Linked DNA regions of Lytechinus pictus. The protein of the gene in region 1 purifies or fractionates together with the protein of each later gene. This does not show direct contact. Links are inferred from orthologs where the notes say so. Each region holds a gene or a part of one and is shown in the gene's direction. Other genes may lie near its edges.

Region 1 (7,915 bases):
CCTGAAAGTTTTCTTTCTTCAGTTTGAATTCTGTCTTCCTTCCTTCCTTCTTCCCTTTCTTTCTTTCTTTCTTTCTTTCTTCCTTCCTTCCTTCTTTCCTTCCTTCCTTCCTTCCTTCCTTCCTTCCTTCCTTCCTTCCTTCCTTCCTTCCTTCCTTCCTTCCTTCCTTCCTTCCTTCCTTCCTTCCTTCCTTCCTTCCTTCCTTCCTTCCTTCCTTCCTTCCTTCCTTCCTTCCTTCCTTCCTTCCTTCCTTCCTTCCTTCCTTCCTTCCTTCCTCCCTCCCTCCCTTCCTTCCTTCCTTAGTTTCTTTCTTTCTTTATTTCTTCAGGCTTTCTTCGGACTTTCTTTCTAGTTGTGACCTGAAAGTTTTCTTTCTCGATCTTTTTTTCTTTCTTCTTTGAATTCTTTCTTCCTTCCTCCCTTCCTTCCTTCCTTTCTTTCTTCCTTTCTTCAGGCTTTCTTTCTAGTTGTGACCTGATAGTTTTCCTTTCACGATCCTCTCCCTTGTTTTAATGAGTATTTCAGTCGCCTACTTTTTTTCTTGCTATTCTCCTCGCCTTCCCTTTTCGTATCGTTAGAAATAGATTTTGGTGCTTAAATTTTTTTTTTTACAGATCGGAAGTTTGGAATATCGAATTGTGATTGAAATGATTTTCCCCTGATTTTCACAAGAATTAAGCGGAATTATTCCTTAATGGGGATCGAGCTTTAAAAGTTGATCCTGGAAAATGTTTGAAGAGAATAGATTTTGTCCGGAATATTTGCATTTATACGACTCGATCATATATCGGCCTGCTTCATGAGGATAAATATTTTCCATATTTGTTTAGATGGGAAATATTCACCCTGACTTTTAAAAATGGCAGAATAAAAACAAAACGCAATGGTGAAGGTCTGAGAAAATCCATCAAAGATATTAAAAAGGTATTAGAAGATTATTTTCTTTTCAAAAGCAGCAGAAAACATCAAGAGTAAATAATGGTGAAGGTTTAAAGAAAATGTTTACCTGTAGCGGCTAAGAAAGCAGGAATGCTTGTAAGTAAGAACCAGAGGACCGACTGCTTAAGGTCCTCTCCGAGGGACATGGTAATAATGAAGATTAACAGGGGCGGATCCAGCTTTCGCCAGTGGGGGGGGGGGGGCGGAAAAAAATATTCACTCATATTTTCCCCGATCGGCCACGCTCAAAGTTGATTTGTTTGTTTCTTTGAAGGGGGTAGCCCTGCACTGAAACAAACGGTATCAAAATTAGGCTGGGCCGGAATTATAGCCTTCCAATTTATGTCAGTTTCTTTGAGAGACAAATCCTTCGGAACTTAATGATCAACCGTGGCCAGTTTTGGTTGTTTAAGCAAATTTCATAAATTATTAAATTGAACTTTAATGCATGAGTGAGCACAAATTGCACTTTTTGGGGGCAGCCTTTCAACTTTATCATGTGGATCTCAGCAATGTGTTAATGGGAGTCGGGGGAATATAGGGGGTGAAGTAGGTTGATTGAATAAGGGTCAACGTTACAGAAAATTTAGCCTCCCCTCCCTCTCTCCCGCCCTCCCCTCCTGTTGAGAGACTGATTGCTATTGTCATGTACGCGTGAAGTCCAGAGCAGAATGTTGATTTAATCATGTTAATGATGAATTCTGAATTGAGGCATCAACTTTTTCCTATCAATCGATCATTTAATCAACAATTTATCATGAATCAACTCATTCAATGTGATCAATCAAACATTCATTTTTTTCAATATTTTTTTTTCATAAATCATCATAATCAGTCAATTTTGGTAACCATTCAATAAAAAGAGAAAAAAAACTGACCATCAGCCACCGGTCACTTGGCAGTTAAGTTCTGAATCGGGCTACAATCCAGGAAGTGAGAGAGAAATAGAGAGGTGGAGAGGGAGAGAGAGAAGAGAGAGAGAGGGGGGGGGAGAAGAAACCGGGGAAATGGATCGAGGTGGAGGGGAGTACATAATCAATTTAACATAACACCCCTAGCTTTGCAAGTTCCGAAGGACTAAGCTCTCAAAATAATTGTAAGGCAGCCAATTCCCGCCCAGCCTATATAGCCAAGCTTATAGTCTCTCAGGAGCTAGGAGAGAAGGGGGGGGGGGGTTAGAGATGGAGGGAGGGGTTGCTAAATGTTCTGTTGACCTTTATCCCATCAACGTACTTCACCTACTTAAGTTCTATCTTACCCCCTATTCTCCTGACTCTCATGGACACATTGCTGAGATCCACATGATAAAGTCAAATGCTGCACTAAAATTGCAATTCATGATCACTCATTCATTAAATTTCAATGTGATAACAAACTGATCACAATTGATCATTAATTCATCATAAAACCCTCAAACCCTCAAAAGTTCCCCCCTCCCCCCCCAAAAAAAAAACGGAAAGAAATTGGAAGGCTAATTCCGGCACAGAATTTTCTTACCCTTTATTTCAGTGGGCAGTGCTCGCTCAAGCATGAGTAGTTTTCCAACTTTTGGTGTCATTTGAAAGTTGACTTTATTGGCTTTCCATATGAGTCTTTCCCCCAAAAGTGATATATTTTTTATTTGGCAGCCATTTCAAAAGTGGCGGGCGTGCCCCTCGATCGGCCCCCTGGATCCGTCTATGGATTAATGCCTTACCAAACTTTGGCAAGAGCTCACCAATTGGGAATCGAACCCGGGTCATCGGAATCCGAAACCCGCCCCGCTCTACCGACTGAAGGGAAAAGCAAGGAAGGGAAAGAAAGAAATAAATAAATAAAGAAAGAAAGAAAGACATACAGACAGACAGACTGACAGAAAGAAAGAAAGAAAAAATGAAGGGAAAGGGAGGAATGGAAGAAGATGGAAGGAAGAAGGAATAAGGACGAAAGAAAAATGAGAGAAAGTTAGAAAGAAAAAGGAAAAGAAAAAAGCAAAGGAGAAAAGGAAAGAGAGAGAGAGTAAAAAAAGAATGTATTCAAACTTTATACCGAAAAAACTAAAAATACCGAAAAAAATATAAAACGAATGTATTCATCACTTTATACCGAAAAAAATATAATTGAGTATAAGGGAAATGCACAAAATTTTAAGTTCGCTCGCCATGTTCCCGCCCCGCCTACTGATATCTCCTGGCTACGCCAATGCCATAAATAATGTCTCAAAAGGCTATTATATTTTACTTTTCATGATAGGAACGAAAAAGCTAGAGGACAATTAATACAATTTTCCCTGAAATTTCCAAATATGTGGGATAGCCCATTAAAGGAAGGGGGAGGAGTCCGGGAGGAGTACACAAAAGGCAATTTTTGTTCTTGGCAGGCGAGTGTCGAATTTTTGACAGTTGAGGTCAAAGACCGTCTTTTTTAATTACTCCTGGGGATCAGATCACTGGCAAATCAGACACCCCCCCCCCAAAAAAAAAAAAAAAACAGCCCAGATATTATCAGTTCGAGAAGCCCTTTTCACTGTTATACCTGTAAATGCTTTCACAATTATTTATATAAAAAAATCATCAAATGATTCTCGGAAACACTCATCCCACCGGGGTTTAAATAAAAGCAAAAACTGAAAGGAAACAAATCATCGGGCGTACACGGGGCGTACACTCTGCCCCAATCGGCCCAGTGACCACTGACCATTATAGCCTGTCCTATTTTAGCGTACTTTGCTAATGACGGAAAAAATGGGGAATTCAAATCGCGATTTGAAGTTGTCCTGTCCCGGTCCTGTCATTCAAGGAGAAAACCTCACATGATAATTTTATGATAATTACTGGGTTTTTTTTTTCAACAAAAGCGAGACGATGGAACCCATCCTTGCTGTAATAAAAGCGGGAATAAAAAATGATGTTGTTGTACGTAGATATGAAGTTAATTGTTGATAACATAAAAAAAAAAAAAAGTTAATTGTTGATGATGATACCGATTAAAGATTTAGAAAGTTATCAGAATTTATTTTTTTTATGTGACGTCATAATGCGAGTTATATAGCTTATCGTGAATGAAAAAAAAACAAAGAAAAAATCAATGAAATTTCATTTTCCAATGCAATAATCATTTGATGTATAAGTTATCGCCTTTTCATTCCGGTTACAAAAGCGCAATACACTTAAATGATTTTATTGAACCTGTATGTCAACAGGCAAATCATTTGCCTGTAATAATATGTCTGTAAAGCGCTTAGAGACGTCGTTCCGATGTATTAAGCGCTATATAAATGCGGAATATTATTATTATTATTATTTGCATCTGCTCCTGAATGACAAAAAATATATTATAGTCATCATGAACCATTCAAAATTGAATTAATGCATTTTAGATTGCATTACACTTAGGGCAGCTGCTCGTACATGACGTCAAATAAAAAATTTCAAATTTTATTAAATTTCTTAATCTATATGATTTTTCTCAAGGCTTCTTTACCAAATTTTATCCGGGTAGTTTTACAACAAACTTTTCGTCAGGGTGTAGGCCCTACTTCCCTTTAAGTGAGGGTCTTATTTTGGTTAGAGTCAATAGTCATTCCTAAGAATTATTCTTAACCTGATGGTCTATTCAAGATTCACAGACATGCAGTAGCAAATTACATCACAAAAGTATATTTATATAGCGGCTATAATTACAACCTTATTTTTGGGTCATCCGTTTGTAAACATGAATTAATTACTGACCGTACAACGTTTTACACATTATTGTGAATTGAATTGTATTGTATTGAACTGTATGAGGCGGGGGGGGGGGGGTCTTTTTTTATTTGGCAACCAGTCAAATGGACTACAGTATTTTCGCCATAGAGAGTCATAGTTTTTCCCCCCTGAATCCCCTTTGTAGACACCATACTTAGCCTTGCCGACTACTATCTCTGCAAGATAACTTCAATTATTTTTTTGGCTCTTACATTCATTTGGACTTGTACTCGATTTGGAACAATTTACCCTACCAAAGTGCCATCATGTCTGCTGACGAAGACACAGAATTAAGAGACCTCATTGCTCAAACATTGGAGAATAATGGGGTCCTTGGGAAGATTCGGGTAAGTTTCGTTTGCCTGGCCTGTGCCACTCCCTGTGAGCTGTGCCTGTGGCGGTACGTACTGGTACTCGTCTCGCGCTCGGCCTCGGGCCATGCCACTGCAGGGCCGGGCCGAGCGAGCCAGGGTCAGGGAAGTCGGCTGCGGCGCGGCATGCAGGGCCCGCGAAGCTTCACCTTCGCTACCCGTGACGTTCGTGTACCGTGGCGTAGGCTCCTCGCTCCTCGCTCTGATACTCTCTCTAGTCTTGAGGACGCAATGATGATGACTTTTAAAATAATGAAATATACTTCTTTTTGACTTTCGTTTTGACACTCTTCCCTTAGTCGCAGAAGTGAGAAGAGAAGGGCCAAAACAAAGATCATAAGATGGATTTCCCTCGGAAATCCATCTTTTGAAACAAAAATAACTTGAATTTTATGAATTTCATTGATTTTTACACCTTCCTACGCCTAATGCGTAGGAAGGTTTTAAAAATTATAATATAAAAATGTGAAAAAATTAAGGTTTCTTACCTAACTGATACCGAGTAGACCCCTCGATCCACATGTAAACAACGCAAACTTCAATAGCGTCGACCCTTGAACCGCTTACGTATGACGTACTTCCGGCTAGCGATGCCGTTCTGATGAATAATTTATAGAAAAAAATATTACTTCGCAAATGTTAAAATTTATCACGTAATTATAAATAATTAGTATAAAAATACTAATAGGCCCTAATTATTTATAGGCCTAATCACGTATGACGTAATAAATTTTAGTATTTGTGAAATAATAATTTTTATCTAAAAATTATTCATCTTTTAGAGCTTTGATATCTGTTTTTTCCTGGTTGTTTTTTGTTTTGTTTTGAAAGAAATAGACCACTCTTTTCCTTTTCTTTTGGCTTCAACTAATACTTTTGTGCCTTTCAAGTCTATCTATCATGTCCATGGGGAGATTGGTAAATTTGGATTGTTAAGTTCTTTTCCACAAAATCTTGCTAATTTTCTTGTTTTGTTTCATAATAGTATGGAAGTTGTGTAAAAAATTGTGTACATTTATGTGCAGTGATTTCACTCTAGAATCTGAATTTATTTATTTTTCTTAAAAAAAGATAGCTCAAACAGGGCCTTTGTAATACAATGTATGTACAGTATACAAATCTAAGAAATGCATTGAAAACCGATAGAATATATTAAAGCTTTATTTTTATCGTTCTTGATATTTGTAATAAATTGCATACAATGCTACGTACACATACACTCAGCTGCTCATCCCTCCTAAAATAATTGTAATCAAATGTCCATTGTCTCTAACATCAAAAGCTACATATTATACATGTATAACAAATTGTTGAAACAAAAGAATACATAAGGAATCGGTGAAACAATCAAATACATCAGAAAATAGCACACTTGTATTTTCATTTGGTCATACAAAGTACAAAAGGAATGATAATTTTCATATGTAAAAAAAGACCTCCGTACATACATTTATGTATACAATACTAAAGTTGAAAAAGAGCTTGTAATTTAAATCAGAAAATTTCTTTACAAAAACAATATTTTAAACAAATTCATTTAGGAAATTATCTACATGATGCTGTTTTGATGCCAACTAAATTATATAAATTATCTATCATTCATGATCACCTTCATTTGGCAAAAAAAGAGGCGAGTATTTGTGATTTTGCGTAATTTGCATAATTAATTAGAATTAAAGGAGAATGAAACTCTTGAAGCAAGTTAGCTTTTGTGAAAGCAGAAAAATCAAAGAATAAGATCAACAAAAGCTTGAGTAAAATAGGACTAGCAATAGAAGAGTTATGAGCATTTGAATGTCGAGATCACTAATGCTATGGAGATCCTCCGATTGGCAATGCGACCAAGATCTACGATGTCACAGATGAACAACTCTCCCCTTTTGGACACTGAAAATATACCCCAAAACATCTCTTTTTGCTCATTCTTATCATATGACAAACGATTCATCAATTATATAATGTTGTGAAACCTCTGTACTTTTCCTCTCATAAAGAGAACACCTCACTTTGTGATAGACTCTATAAAAGTGAGAATATAAGTGAAATAAGTACTAAAGTAATGAGGGAGTTGTACGTGTGTGACATCACAGATCTTGGTCGCATTGCCAATGGGAGGATCTACATGGCATTAGTGATCTCAATATTCAAATGCTCATAACTTTCTTATTATTCATTCAATCTTCCTCAAACTTTCAACAATATGTTTCTTTGATTTTTCTCTTTGATATGGATTCAGCTGGTTTCAAGGGTTTCATTCCTTTAATTAGAATAAATTATTTTACACATATTAAGAAGAAAAATTACAAAGTGAAATGATTACACATCAGTTGAGCTTTCTTTCACCTTTCCATTGATACCTAAATTACTTCAAAGGGCTAAAAAACAAAGCAGTTAGAGCCTGTTGAAGACTTGGGTTCAAAATGTTCACAAAATGGTCACAAAAATCGGTTCTGTATTACATTGACTTTACATTAAGACAATGACCACAAATTTGGATGAATATGCGCGACTCAAACTGGAATAACTTTATAAGTTCTTGATGAAAATTAGAGTTCTTGGTATTATATGAAAGATCTTTTCAAGAGCTTTCAAATGTTACCAAATTTATTGATATTTGATGATTTTCATTTTTTTGTCACATACCTACTCAATTCATGACTATATAGAATGGGATCTTTCGCATCGAAATTGGATATAAAATAAGAAAGGTATGACATTTCGTTTATTTTTCAAAAAACAGTTTTAATTCTATTCACAACTCAGTGACATCACATGCAAATGAGAGAGTCGAGAAGTCCATCATTCACTATTTTTTTAATTGTTTGAATCATACAATATTGAATTTTTTACCAATTTGACTTTAACTTAAGGACCAACTTC
Region 2 (7,761 bases), on another chromosome or scaffold:
GAGAATTGATCCGACAACTATTTTTAACACTCTCAATTAACTCTGCTATCTACATGTATGTCCCTCAGAGGCTAAGTTAATGGGGGCGAGCCAAGTGATTTTTTTTTCCTGATTTCCTCATGGGATTGGAGTACAAGATCCAGGCCTTGTTAACTCACAGAACACAAAGAGTTGTCGTGCAAGGAACAAAGTCAGACTGAGTGAGGTATGAAGTTCTGTAGTCCAAGGTGCGGTCCTAGGTACTGATGGTCCGAAACAGAATTAGTCATTTTGGGATGGGCTTAGGAAGGGCGAATAGCCCCCCTCACCCCGATTGCCGCATTAAATTCCACTTTGGTACACTACCAAGAAGGAATGTATAGCTCTCAGTAAGTTCATTCCTCATAGTCATAACCAAGGACAATCTGAATAAAAAATGATTCGTCTTGGTTTATGATATATTATAGGATCTCCTAGTTTACTCAGACCATCCTCATAATTTAAAAATCATCCAAACGAAATGAGGATTGTCCCTGACTCCATTTACAATTACACTTAACACTGGGATTGAGTTTGACTTCTTTTTATCCACGTGCAAGAAATCAAGAATCATGGAATGTTCGTTGACCCATCCAATGCGGACATGTGGTTGAAACCAATTGAGTGTGCTTGTCAGGGTCTAACAGTTGTTACTACATGTATTAGTTAGACTCTAACTTAAGTTTAGGCCTAACTTATTATCTAGATGTATATTTCTCTCAAACTATGAGGAGATTTTTGCTCAGGGGGGGGTTAGGCCACTTACATTGACGAGTGGATACCATGCGCTACCCCAAAAACACATAAGGGTCCCGTTTCAGGCACTCAGGCGTCAACAACGTCTTTGGCAAAAAGGGTTGCATTTCAGCACCATTCGCTGGTAAATCACCTTTTACGGTAGCCTTTTCTCTCTCTCTTCATGCCATTAAGGGTTGCTAATTTGGTTATGAAGATGACGCCATTGAGGGGTGCAAATATGAATAGATCTACGCCATTTAGGGTTGCAAATTTGAGAAGATTAGGGAGCAGACCTAAGCCACACCATGAAGGGCGTGATTTTAAGGGATACAAAATAATCCTCACACACGCCGGCCAGCGCATCACTTAAATGAGAGAATACCCCCGTACAGTAAAGTCTCTAGTCTTACGCCCGGCTCTATACTATAGGCAGCATGCCAATAGGGTTTAGGCCTTTAGTCTATACCATTTTGTTTGATTCATACCAGGGATGGGGGGATTCCTATGATTTTTTTTTAATTATCAATTAAAACAATAAAAGAAGATATATAGAGGTTTAATTAAAGTATGTCTTTTTCAACACATTAACTGGTATGGAATATGGATTCCATTTTTTCAAGTTGTGATGAAATTGGTAAAATGAATGGTAAGTGATGCATCAGTCAGTAAATGCAAGCAACATTTTTCACTTGCATTCAATAATTTAGGATAAAAGATGGCTATTTAAAGTGGCTAACTGAAGAGAGCTGTCATTGAGAGTAAATTATGCTGGACTTTATATACTTGCAATAATTATTTTAAAAATGCCGGGAATTTATACCTGTGGTATGTAACATCAATTTTACATCAGTAATCCGTATGGTATCAAATTAATCGATTTCTATGTTATGACGCCACTTAGGGTATCGAATTACGGGCTTTTCCCTGTTTACGCCACTGAGGGTATCGAATTACGGGCTTTTCACTGTTAACGCCACTTAGGGTGGCTTTTCTCATGGGTTACGACATTTAGGGTTGCAGATTTATTTAATGAAGTTACGCCGTTTAGGGTGCATTTCTGAGGTTGTCGAACACGGGTGAGTAGCAGTCCATGTGGAGAGTGCCCCCCGGGGATGTCTTTTTCAAGATAGGGCACATTACGTAATCATGGTAACAAGGGTGTCAAAACTCAAAACACTGAAATAATGAATATTTAGCTAGGAAATCTACGTGTTTAGGGTCAAATTTGTGAGGGTAAAATTAAAGACTAAAAAAAAGGATGTACTTTTCGTGCTTTTTGCCCCAACACTAGTAACAGTCAACACTATGGCACACTTCTAAAATAAGAAAATAATAGGGATTAGGGGGCCTACTACATGACTAAGCTAAGGAACATTAACGTGTTGACTGTTAGTCAAGTTCATTAATGTCATGGCCCCCCTTGGCCTTGTTTGTTGCAACAGAACAGGTGCAATTGATTGCAAGTGTAGCAAAAAAAGTAACCACATCATGCCTTTCAAACTTAAAGTTTCATGGAGCTGTGTCACTCAGTCTCACTCTCATGACATGAGCCTCAACTCAAGTTCGGACCAGAACAGGGCTAGGGGCCAGGCCCGGTCTTTCCCGTGTAGATCTATCCTCCCTGGGCCTGGGCTAGCTAAGCTAGGCTGAACTGATCTGATCTCACTTAGCCTGGAGGCGTCTGGGGAGTGAAAGTAATATACTGTACGTATGGTCACTCCCCTAACGCCTGGCATTGTGATGTATAGAGTTCTACGTACCGAGGGAAAAGGCAACTATAAAAATGCGCCAAACTGCTAGTTATGTTTAGAATCTGAGGTCACGACTGCTGTACATGGGTAACAATATTGGTTGGCAACGTTTGGCAAAAAATGCGTAATAATGGTTACAAAATGACGAATAAATTATATGAAGTAATAAAAGTAGAAGAGAGTTTACTTACACTTGTTGACATGGCCATCTTTGATCCTTTGTAATTGCAACCTAGTTACTAACCCAGAGAGCTCCCGCCCGCACAGCGGGCGGGAGCCCAGAAGCTTACCGTGTATTTTACCATTGTCACCGGACTAGGGTGATTTATGGTCTAAATATTTCTCCAAATGAATTGTGAAAACGGAAAGTATACAATTACCACGATTATATGGATGAAGGTCTAACGAGTGGCAGATTCCTGACATCTGGGCACAGTCTGGAACCTCAAAAAAACGAAAAGTTCTCTCCTTCTACCCAGTCTCGATCGGCCATTTTGTTACGATTTTTAACAAAAATGGCCGATCGAGACGGGGTAGAAGGAGAGAACTTTTCGTTTTTTTGAGGTTCCAGACTGTGCCCAGATGTCAGGAATCTGCCACTCGTTAGACCTTCATCCATATAATCGTGGTAATTGTATACTTTCTGTTTTCACAATTCATTTGGAGAAATATTTAGACCATAAATCACCCTAGTCCGGTGACAATGGTAAAATACACGGTAAGCTTCTGGGCTCCCGCCCGCTGTGCGGGCGGGAGCTCTCTGGGTTACCTAGTTACGTGACGCGTATAGAGGGCGGCAAAATCATGAGCGGTGCTAGATTAAAAAGTGCTAAAATGTCCCGCTTCAACCACTGAACTAGAAATACGTGGAAGTCGTGTACACCCAAGCAAAACATCGCCGGCGAACTCGATAAGTCACGTGACCGCCGCCATTTTGATAGGTCAATTGTTCGAGAACGCGCCGTAGAAGGCAAGATGCAATATGTTTTCTCTATGTATTTCTAGTTCAGTGGTTGAAGCGGGACATTATAGCACTTTTTAATCTTGCACCGCTCATGATTTTGCCGCCCTCTATACGCGTCATGTAACTAGGTTGCAATTACAAAGGATCAAAGATGGCCACGTCAACAAGTGTAAGTAAACCCTCTTCTACTTTTATTACTTCATATAATTTATTCGTCATTTTGTAACCATTACTACGCATTTTTTGCCAAACGTTGCCAACCAATATTGTTACCCATGTACAGCAGTCGTGACCTCAGATTCTAAACATAACTAGCAGTTTGGCGCATTTTTATAGTTGCCTTTTCCCTCGGTACGTAGGACTCTATAGACTATACATCACAATGCCAGGCGTTAGGGGAGTGACCATACGTACAGTATATTACTTTCACTCCCCAGACGCCTCCAGGCTAATCTCACTTTCAGCTCAGCTTCGGCCTCCCCCAGCCCCAATCCCAAGCAGCTGCCCCAAATTCCGATGTCAACGACTGAACTAAGTTAGACACCGAGATCATGGCCTGTTTGGGCCGCGGGATCGGGCTGGATAAGGTACGGTCCCGTACCGTACCTACCGGTTCCTAATTCCTGGCTGTAGCTGTAGAGAGAGAGTCGGTTGTTTTCGCCAGACCAGCAGTCTCATCATCATCATCATCAGAACATCGCTATACTATGTCTATAGCTTGCTGCTCAGCTCAGGCTCAGCTAGCTATCTCAGCTCAGCTAGCTCAGCTCAGTCAATGTTGACAAAATCCCCGTTGCGCGTCATCGGCAGACAACTCCGCCCACCTTGTTCGCTGAGAAACACAGTTTTATCATTGTATTAGTATCATCTATCGTAACACCATCCTAGAGAATCAGCAAAAAGGATATATCCCACAATGCACCATTTGCCTCTCTAATATCAAGATGGCGTTTAGGTGAGTATTTCCGTGTAGATGTGAATACGTACATTTGAATGTGAGATTTAGTTGTCGTTTAAACACATTTAATCTGTTTTTTGATAAATTTCTGTCAATTTCAATATTCTAGACAATGTTGATTACTAATTTAACAGATAAATTTCATGTTTGATTTAGAATTTTTGTATTCAAATGGACCGTGTTGTGTTGTTTTGAAACTGACTGTGGACGTCTGTGCAGTGTCGGTGTCGTGTGTGGGCCTATTTTTATTGGCAATTGCAAATGACTCACTCGCACTCGGCAGCTCGCCGTCTTGGCCGTTATTTTTCGGACGCCTCAGGCTCAGCTCAGGCGGGCACAGCCGGCTAGCCAGTAGCCACAGACACAGCTTGGACACAGTCACAGGCGCACTACAGAGTACAGTATAGTTTAGAGTAACCCAGAGAGCTCCAGCCCGCGTAGCGGGCTGGAGCCCAGACGCGCAGTGTACAAACGGGCATTCAGGTGAGAGTACCGTGAAGTTTGGTCAATATCATTTACATAATACATAATTTAAACAGAAATTAAGCACTTACCACGATTGTATGGATGATAGTCTAACGAGTGGCAGTTTCCTGACATCGAGGCACAGACTGGAACCTCAAAAAACGATCAGTTCTGTCGCGGTGGCTCTCCTTCTTTCAAAATTCATAGCAAAATGGCCGTTCGAGAGGGTGTAGGGCGCATGCGCGAATTTGACAAAGTCTATATGCGCTAGTGCTATACTAGCCTCGGTCTCGATCGGCCATTTTGTGTTGAATTCTGAAAGAGGAGAGCTACCGCGACAGAACTGATCGTTTTTTGAGGTTCCAGTCTGTGCCTCGATGTCAGGAAACTGCCACTCGTTAGACTATCATCCATACAATCGTGGTAAGTGCTTAATTTCTGTTTAAATTATGTATTATGTAAATGATATTGACCAAACTTCACGGTACTCTCACCTGAATGCCCGTTTGTACACTGCGCGTCTGGGCTCCAGCCCGCTACGCGGGCTGGAGCTCTCTGGGTTAAGTTTAGAGCTATATTTTGTGCAATATTTTTTGTTCTAAAAATAAAATCCTGTGTCGATTGTCAGCAAAAAATGGAAATTTGCACTGACAAGTGCCAGGCAGAATTTGACATGTTCATCTTTTTTGCAATATTTTTTTTTGTTCTAAAATGAAATTTGCATCAATTTTTGTTGAATATAGATCTAGGCCTATCCTATTTTTTTCTCCTATCATGCCTATCTCAATGCCTCATAGAATTTGGAAATGTATCACCATGTTTTGTGCCCACGGCCACGCGCTATCCACAGCCCCTGCCCTCCACGGAGCTCCGTTTTTACATAGCGCATCACGCGTTTTAAAGTCAATGCGTGCCAGTGATGCTAAATTGTGGCTGGATCTGGATTAGACAGGAATAACCGTCGTTTCTGGGATTTCTTTAACAATTTCTGACATATCACTATAATCCCCATTCACCGACGGTAGTTAGTCTTAGTGTGAGCTCGCATGTGTTATCACTTCCTCTAATTCGCCGATTAACTGTCCAGACTTCAATATTCTTTTTTACATCGAATTTACAGTCTAAGGATTTAGAAACTACCAAAATACAATGTACTATCTTGAATATATAACAAATAACTTAATGTGCACGAAATAGAACAAAGGTATGAAAATGGTACTTTACCGATGTTTACTTGTCTTGGTCCCGTCGTGGTCTCGAGAATCACCCCCAAAATGGCAGCCAAAATATGAAATATTACCAACGAACGGAGAGGGCGTCAACAATTTACGAATATGATATCGATATTGCTTTCGATATTATACGATCTGCTCCATATGCGAGCTAAACCGCTACAATCACAGGTAGCAGACGACATTCGATAAATCGAGACATCGAAAAGTTAATAAGGAAAATGACGACATTCAAGATGGCAACTTGCAAGAAAAACCGTCAGCTTAGGTGAAAATGTCTTAGATGAAAGATTTCTCAATCATCCAGAGGATTTTTTTTTCAATAACTCCGGTCCAAGGTACGCAATTACTAAAGTTATTTATATTTCCCTGATAATGGAAACCATGAAACTGTAAATTTCGCTTAAAAACAGTTTTAAATCGCGACCTATAAAACGTTAGTTCACTTATACGTTGGCTGTACGTACGGGCCTCCAAGCTCTTCAGTCTATGTATTGGTGAGTGGAGCCAACGTAGTTTAGCGGAACAACCAAAATACAGAGACTGAACTTTTGGTCTAGATCTGGATGACCTCACATAGTATGTAGGGACAGTGATTTTCCGCGATCGCGGAAAACGGACGGAATTCACGGAAAGGGTCTTTTGAAACGGAAAATGGCATTTCAAACGGAAAATCACGGAAAACGTATTTTCCCTCAAAATACACAGAATAGCAACAGAAATTACTCCAAAATCACAACAAAATGAGAATATTAAATGGCCAAAAAAACCCAGAAAACACGATCTCACTTCGCTACTATCATGACAATTCACACATCGTGACTGCACTCGACATCAGCACACTCGATTGTACCCGTACCCCGCACCGTACCCGTACCCGTACCCGGCCGGCCGGGTTGGGCTTCACATGCACACATGTATCGTTCAACTACATGTACACAGTTGTGTGTTGCTGCCCTCTACGTTTGAAGATGTAACAGCACGATATCGTGGTCTTAAAATCCAAGATGGCGGATTGGGAAAAGACGTTGACTGATGATAACGATGTCCAAAAACCCCCAAAATTATCGATGAAATATCATTTCACCGTGAAATAATGCTAATAATATGAAAGGTGAGGATGTATGCATGCAAAATGGGTGTGTTAAAATATTTTATTCACCCGCATAGATCCGATTAGAACGGATTTTATTGTGTTGTTGGTACAGTAGCAGATACAAATTTTGACCAGTGCGAGTGTGCATGTAAATGTGTAAACGGAATTGTCACTTTTCCGTGTGTACAAAGTCTATGGGGAAACGGAATTTCCGTTTTCTGACATGCTGAAACGGAATTTGAGATTTTCTGAAACGGAAAAGGCAATTTTTTGAAACGGAAAATCACTGTCCCTAAGTATGGTTTCAAGGTTTCAAGCTACACTGACTGCCTCCTTCAATCCTGAAGATTCTTCTTCATCTTCTTCATCCTACACTGACTGCCTCCTTCAATCCTGAAGATTCTTGCAGTATTGTAGTACCGCGGACCGGCAGGTGCAATACACCGGGTGAACACCCTACTCTTTGACGAATAGTATATTGGTTTTAACGTGCATAGGTTGTGACTCTCCTATTCACGGGACCAACATTTGCGTCCTTT

The links. The genes of interacting proteins can lie anywhere in the genome.
Region 2: the proteins of centrosomal protein 43-like (region 1) and centrosome-associated protein 350-like purify together in Homo sapiens (affinity purification with mass spectrometry; 6 studies listed by BioGRID and IntAct, counting the BioPlex papers as one, with this or other methods). This does not show direct contact. The link is inferred for Lytechinus pictus from reciprocal best matches to the Homo sapiens genes CEP43 and CEP350.

The regions. Positions count from the first base shown.
Region 1 is NC_087254.1:18,222,419-18,230,333, forward strand, and holds the start of centrosomal protein 43-like, read left to right. Parts: upstream 1-4,827; 5' UTR 4,828-4,930; coding exon 4,931-5,011; intron 5,012-7,915. UniProt on the Homo sapiens protein: Required for anchoring microtubules to the centrosomes. Required for ciliation.
Region 2 is NC_087259.1:22,876,396-22,884,156, reverse strand, and holds the start of centrosome-associated protein 350-like, read left to right. Parts: upstream 1-4,323; 5' UTR 4,324-4,426; exon of another isoform or gene 4,427-4,466; intron 4,467-7,761. UniProt on the Homo sapiens protein: Plays an essential role in centriole growth by stabilizing a procentriolar seed composed of at least, SASS6 and CPAP. Required for anchoring microtubules to the centrosomes and for the integrity of the microtubule network.